Linked DNA regions of Danio rerio. The protein of the gene in region 1 interacts with the protein of each later gene in a pairwise test. Links are inferred from orthologs where the notes say so. Each region holds a gene or a part of one and is shown in the gene's direction. Other genes may lie near its edges.

What was found.
Region 2: the proteins of cdr2a (region 1) and pkn1a interact in binary tests that used the Homo sapiens proteins (3 or more experiments, as listed by UniProt). The link is inferred for Danio rerio from reciprocal best matches to the Homo sapiens genes CDR2 and PKN1.

The regions. Positions count from the first base shown.
Region 1 is NC_133178.1:62,651,119-62,654,782, reverse strand, and holds part of cdr2a (cerebellar degeneration-related protein 2), read left to right. Parts: intron 1-3,173; coding exon 3,174-3,286; intron 3,287-3,664.
Region 2 is NC_133176.1:49,115,070-49,119,258, forward strand, and holds the end of pkn1a (serine/threonine-protein kinase N1), read left to right. Parts: intron 1-293; coding exon 294-497; 3' UTR 498-3,683; downstream 3,684-4,189. UniProt on the Homo sapiens protein: PKC-related serine/threonine-protein kinase involved in various processes such as regulation of the intermediate filaments of the actin cytoskeleton, cell migration, tumor cell invasion and transcription regulation.

The DNA.
Region 1 (3,664 bases):
AAGTATTTAAAGGGCACCTATGGTGAAAAATTTACTTTTCACGCTGTTTGGACAGACGTGTGTAGGTTTAGTGTATAAACAGTCATATAGGGGTGATATAAACACACCCAGTCCTTGTTTTTCAATTTAACAACATAAAAATGGTGGACCAATTGGAGCGGTTTTTTAGACCGACCGCAACTTTACGTAGGAGAGCGGTCCCCCCGCCCATCAATATTGATTGACAGCCTCGCGTCACAATCATATCCTCAGTTTCTTGTTTCAAGTCTGCCATTTTCAGCGTGTGAGTCAAAGCGATATCACTAAAGTAACACCCGTGCTCTATTTTTAGATGAAAGGCTCATTGGGCTCAACACAAGTTCAATATTCTCCACATCATCGCTCTAATTGGAATTATTGCTTGTACCTTTTGCGTAGCGCTGTGCTTTTCGGGGTTCTGGACGCGGGTTTCTGTCAAGGTGCACGCGGCGGGGCTTCGGTTTGGCGGCTCGATGGTCGCGCCGCCGTTGTGTTTGCCCTGGTGGAGGTTTGTGTTTGGAGTTCTGGAATGCCTGGCACGACGATTAGGGACACTTCATGTTTTGTGCCGTGTCGCTGCGCATTCGGTGCCTCAGTCAAAGTTAATTCAGTGTGTGTGGTTATTAGTCTTGGTGTACAAGCTCGGCACTTGTACACCGAGACTATACAAACTATACCAAGACACAAATGATCTGTGTCCGAGTCGTACATGTACGGCTAAATGCTTATCCTAGCTTAGCTTAGCTTCTCTCTCTGTCTGTCAGCCTGTCTGTTGCAAACACAGAGCGTGGGAGCTCTTGACTCCGCCCCCTTGTTACATTGGCTGGGAGCCGAAACTAATTTTCATGTGAAGCAACACACCCCTAAAACAGCGAGCGGTGTACACACCCCCAACATGATACTTTTAAACACATTATAATGAAAACATCTGAACTGTGTTGAACTGAACCTGAACTGGCACACTCAGAACAACCAGAATATTAATATTAAATCATAAAAAGGGATAAACTATGTGCCCTTTAATTTAACTAACTAAACAGCATTTATTAATCTTAATATCATCAATTTCAGTAATTTAAAGATCAGTGGTTAACGTCTGGTAATCAGCTAAAGACCTGCTTTAATTTGTTTAACATATTAACTAATGTACAAAAATAAGGCCTTACTCTATTGCCAAAGGACATTTGAATCTGTGTACTGTACATGATGTATCCCATTTGGTGTTTTATTTGCTCATGTATTTCAGAATAAATACAAATATTTAATGCTGAAAAGTGTTTTATTTTGTAAATATAATGTAGATAATGCTTTCATTCCTCTGATAATAATAGGGGTGAGTGTTGTGCTGGGACTTTGTTTGCACTTGGCAGGACGCCTTTTCCTTCTTTCTCTCCAAAGCAGTGGTAATATGTATTTGTTTTTAAGGAACTCGTGTATTCATTATAGGTCTAAAATGTTAAATGATTTGTTATTCACAGAATATGTCTCAGAGACAGTATTCTGCCTTATGATATATTATATAACAACATTTATAAAGAATTAATATCTAGATATGTGTGGAATTTTGTTGCATCATTCTGCATTAGCTGGCCTGTGGTAATAATAATCATTATATCAGCTTATTGCGCAAAAAAAATGACCATAATAATTTTCGATGATGCAATTTTCGATTGGGCAGCCTCTGTCGTCTTATCTAATCTCAGCTTTGAGTCAAAGAGTTCAGGTTTAAAAACAATTAATAGTTATTGCTGGATGTAGAAAAGCTGATTATCAAAACTTGTCATATTTTCATATCAACTATTTACAGAATCATTCCAGTATATGTGTAAATATTCTTTTCTAAACCTCCTCCACCCTTTTCCCACCCTCACAAGACCACAAGCACACTGAAATGGATACATTTGTGAGACATTGAGCTGATGTGTTAAAATAAGAGGAAAAGACAAGTACACAAGCAATGATGACTAATAAAAGATTAAAGCAAGGAAGAGTTATCCTTATCCCATCAGCATTTTCAGTCAATATAATGTCGAAAAATCTGAATTTTCACACTTTCCTCTAGAGGTGTGAACCTATACTGGTCTCACGGTTCGGTTATGATTATCATGCCTTTGGTTCAATTCAATATCTCGGTGCATCACGGTGCATTGACGATGCTTTCCATATACAGTGTTATATTTTAGGGGGGAGGCTATAACAAGCTGTCTGTATAAACACACAGACACACAGCACCACACTGTCTCTCATTCAAACACATTCACAAACATAGACAGCACCAAACAAACAAACACACACGCACGCACTAAAGCCCTCGCAACAGGGAGAGCTCGCGCTGAGCAGAGCAGAAAAACGTAAAAAAACGAAAAAAATAAGCACTTTTGCGATGTCCCTTACTGAGAGCTCCTCTCAGCGTGAGCTCTCCCGGCTAAACACATTTGCGAGGGCTTAAACGAAGCAGTGCTCGTAATGTCGAGCGAAAAAAAAGAAAGACAGCTGTGAAACATAACCAGCTTTGTCTTTTTGTAGGAAACACACTTTAGATCTTTTTAGGGTGAGAGGTTTTTGAGTTATTGTCGCTATAACTGAATGTGTGTCAGGAATGTTGAAAACAAAACCAACTGAACCGCGCTCATTTCTGGCGCCCTCCTGGATATACAGCGCCCTTAGCATTTGCCTATGGTGCCTATGCCACGGGCCGGCCCTGAGTTGGCTGAGTGTTGTAAATACTCGCGCTCACCTCCCTCGCGACAGAGCGCATAGGAGATAAATGACGTCAGTATATAATAAACGGTTATGATTATTACTGAACTGATACCTTATTGTCCGCGTCTGCATCGCGGTGCACCAAAGAAACAATTAATTTTGACACCCCTACTTTCCTCAATCTTGTAATGGTTTGGAAGTTGTCCATATGAGCTCTGTTTCACACAACAATAATAATTTATCATGACAGGCTTAAGCTTAATATTTATTTATTTAAAATGAAACGATATGCTTATTTTGAGCTGTGTACATGCACTCTACCGGTCAAAAGTTTGGGATCGGTAGGATTTTAAAATGTTTTAAAATATCCGCTGTGATTGTGCATCGGGCTGGATGACGTCTGCTGTTTTCCTCCATCTTACTGTGCACTCTCCTGTGTTTGTGTGTGACAGATCTGCACTTGGCTGCTGAGCTGGGCAAGACTCTGCTGGACAGGAACCATGAGCTGGAGCAGGGCCTTCAGCAGATGTACTCCACCAATCACGAGCAGCTGCAGGAGATCGAGGTGAAGCTTCTAATAAACAAAACACACACACACACACACACACACACACACACACACACTTCTCAGATCATAACACACACTCTCCCACTCAGATCACAGCACACACACTCACTGCTCAGACTATAACACACTGATATTGATGGAGGAAACTCTCTCTTTCTCTCTCTCAATGCTCAGACCTTAACACACACACACCACACACTGCTCAGAACATGATATACACACGGTCGCGTCAGCAGAAACATACAGCTGTGCAGAGGACTGGAGGAAACACAGACACACCTACTGCTTAGAAAATAACACACACACACACACACACACACACACACACACACACACACACACACCCTATGTAATATAGTTCCACCCTACGTAATA
Region 2 (4,189 bases), on another chromosome or scaffold:
CTTCTTCACAAAGGGCTACAGTTATTAAAAAAATAAAAACTTAATATCAGGGTTCCCTCGGATTCAAGGCCTGGAAAGTACTTAACATAGGTCCTTGAAAGTGCTTAAATTACATGTAAAATAAAATTTGTTTATGTGTATATTCAATGAGTTGTACTCAATTGTCAAAAACAGAAGGAAAAAACAGAGAAATCTTAAAGGGCATCTATGATGAAAATTGAGTGATATAAGTCTGTTGTTCGGGAAAACGTGGGAACCCTGTAATAAGCTTGTCTTCTTTTTCTTTCCCTCAGAATATGGACTGGGAGGCTCTTCTCCTCCGCAAACTCCCTCCTCCTTTTATTCCATCCATCGGAGGAAAAGAAGACGTCAGCAACTTTGATGAGGAGTTCACGACAGAAGCGCCGACTCTCACTCCTCCCCGCGAGCCTCGAGTGCTTTCGCGCAAAGATCAGGACAGTTTCCGGGACTTCGACTATGTGTCTGACCTCTGCTGAGAGCGGCTTCACTGTGATCGTGCTTATAGAGACATTTCTCCTCCGTGACCAGGAGGACAAGAGTGGCCAATTTGAGTGTGTGAATTGTGAATGTGCTGGACCTGAGAAACACTGTGATGGAGGAAAAGGTCTGGAATACAGTTAGAAATGGATCAAAGATGGAAATAGTTAGTTGGTGGCAGATTTAAAGGTGCACTTGATAAATCACACTGACGGCTAGTGGTATGGTTGAATCACACTGAAGAATTCAATTAGCCGACTGTATTGACCTTATTCTTCAGTGCGATTGTTTTAGAACAGGGTTTTTGCCCAAACTAGGTCCTGGACGTCCGGTGTATTACAGGCATCAACTTGCCTCAGCCCACCTGCACGGATGTTTCTAGAAAGCCTAGTAAAGCTTGATTAGATAACACAGGTGTGTCTGATTGGAGCTGGAATTAAACCTTGAAGGACACTGGCCCTCCAGGACTCTGGTTGCGTCCGAAATTGCATACTTCCATACTATACAGTACGCTAAAATCAGTATGTGAGCCGAGTAGTATGTCCGAATTCATAGAATTCGAAAATCGGTAGGCGAGAAGTACCCGGATGACTTACTACTTCCTGGCGAGATTTTGAAGTGCGCATCTCATGCACGCTGTGCTATCCCATAATGCCCCGTGAGAGAATTCATGAATGGAAGTGAGGCGACGCAACTGACGCAGGTAGGTCACGTGGCCATGACAAAATGGCGGATGTAGTACGTCCGAATTCCATTCATACTTTTCACATTCATACTGTATAGAACGTACTTCTATCTAACGGCCGAGTAGTACGTTTAAATTCAAATGCAGTACCTACTGAGTAGTAGGCGATTTCGGACGCAGCCTCTGTTTTAGAACTTCCGATTTAGTTACCTATGGCAGAAATGACTAGGGATAATAAACGACAGAAACGGTCAAACTACTTGCTCTGCAAACAAGTGTGTTCATGACTGTACATTAAAAGTAGAATAATACAATAAGAAAATACCACTTCGCAATATCAAGCAGCAGAACGAGCTGTTTTTAACGTCTAAAAATCAATGGAAGTCAGTAAAACTGGATGTTTGGAGACAAATAGATTCCTACACATGTGTAAAGAATAAGTTCAATACGGGTTGTATCTAAAATCGCCCCCTATCCCCTTAAATAGTGCACTCTTTGAGGCAGCAGCCATTTGTAGTGGTCTCAAAAACCATAGTGGATGTTAAAAAGTGCACTTAATCCCACAATGCACCGCAATAACCACTATACACTAAATGGCTGCATTCAAAATCACATACTTTCATACTATACAGTATGCCAAAACAGTATGTGGGCCGAGTAGTATGTCTGAATTTACCTATTTTTTCCAGCGAGATTCTAAAGTGCGCATCAGATGGATGCTACGGTATCCCATAATGCTTCGCGAGAGAATTCATGAATGGCAGTGAAGCGACACAACTGATGTCGGTAGAACATGGATCATGACAAAATGGCAGATGTAGTACATCCGAGTTCCATTCATACTGTATAGAACAGGGGACTCAAACTTTAAACACCCTCACGGCCCGCACTCCTCATCCCTCCGACCTGCAACGAAATTCGGCGCCTCCCCCCACCCTGTGGCCTTTAGTTCAGGATCACCTCTTCTACCTTAACCCCCTCACCCTTCTGATCTTTAGTTTGCAATCGTCTTCCCACCCCCGCTCTTCAGTTTGCGAACCACCTCCCTCCTCCGTTTTTCAGTTTGAGTTTGCAGACTGAAATAATATTTTTGTCTGACCACAAGGTGGCATCAATCCTATGTCTTCTTCTTCTCCTTCACTCTATAAGTAAATTATATTAGTTGACTAATGTAGGGTATAGTGAATGAGGGTATATAGGAAGCGATTTCGAATACAGACATGCACAGACATGCGCCCGAAATCGCCTACTACTCAGTGAGTACTGCATTTGAATTTAAACGTACTACTCAGCCGTTAGAAAAGTACTTTGTATACAGTAAGTCAGTAGTATGAATGGAACTCGGACGTACTACATCTGCCATTTTGTCATCATCATGTAACCTACTTCACATCAGTTGCGTCGCTTCACTTCCATTCAGGAATTCGCTCACAGTGCATCATGGGATTGCGTAGCATCCGTCCAATGCGAACTTCAGAATCTCGCCAGAAGTAGTAGGTCATCTGACCTACCGTTTTTCGAATGCTATACGGACAGACTACTCAGCTCGCATACTGTTTTAAGCGAACTATATAGAATGGAAGTACGCAATTTCAAACGCCGTTATGGATTATTTTTAATTGGCCGTCGTTGATTTATGCTTGTCATGTGATCTCAAATTGGTGACCCTCTTCACCCAACCTTTTATCCTGTAGATTTAAATTGATTTTATTAGCACAGCAAACATTGAACATTCCAATATGGTTTCTGTTTGGTTCCCATTTGAGTATTTTTGGAAACCTAATAAGAACGGGAGGCTTTTTAGGGAGGCTGCTTGAAGAGAACTGTTCCGGGAATGTTTTATTTACACTTTTTAAGAAAACTTTCCTGGCAAACCAACAGAAAACATTCTGGAAACCAATAATGGTATGACTTATATGTAATCATAATATACGTTTAAAAATAGAAGAAAAAACTATCAAGTGCATCGTTAAATCTGCTAAAATTGATGGTTTGTCTTAAAGTGTCATATGCGCTTTTGAATAATGCATCTTGTCTTATGAAAGACATTGTGAAGATCTTTTATAAAACTAGAAGCAAGTCAATAAAGGTCACACAGAAACATCTCATGGAACTTTTACATGTAAACGTTACGAGCATGTTGGGAAGTGTATTTCTGTTCACTCTTTCTCCATTCTTCTTATAACTATTCTAACAGGATGATACTGTTTGAATAACTTTCATTATCCAGACCCGATGTGGACCACAAACTCAAAGGAACTTGTTTAAGGGACTCTCCTGCAGACACTGTGACTTTAAATGTAAAAACGAGATAGACTGAGAGCAGAATTGTTGGCTGATTTACAGTAAACTTGATGAATGTGTCCCAGCTCTTAATGGAGTTTAAGCCTCTTTAGACTTGTTTAGTCTGGGTTATTTCATATCTAAATACATCATGCGCTTCATCTGTTACATGTGGAAGTCAAGCATATTGAAATACAGAAGAGCAGACGTGTTTGAAGACAGTGTGGTCTCCATTTCATTAAGTGCACTTTTTAGTATGGTTACCTTGAAGAATTTATTACAAAGACAAGTAAAGCTTTTATATATAGTTTGTTTGAAGAAAATACCTTAAAATAATGTTCCTCTCTGCCCTGCTTTTTGTCCATCTTTTCATCTTTAACTTCAATCTTTAAGCCAAACAATAGATGTAGAATGTAGTGTACATCAAATGACAGAAATGAGAAATGCGAATTAGTTCCGCCGTTATTTCATTGTTGCAGTAAATTACGATTATTGTTTTATACTTTCGTGGTCTTTTAATACACTTTTTTTATATATTCTCTAGCTATATCTCAATACTGCACATGTGAGAGAATCACAATTTTCCCTGAAACATCATTTGCTGTTTACTTTATGATTATGTCAACGGCATATGCTCGTGAAGACATTGTGAGTGACAAAATAGCTTATTTTGGTATCGGGAACTCAAATATTTGATGTTTTAAATGTTTTATTATACTGGAA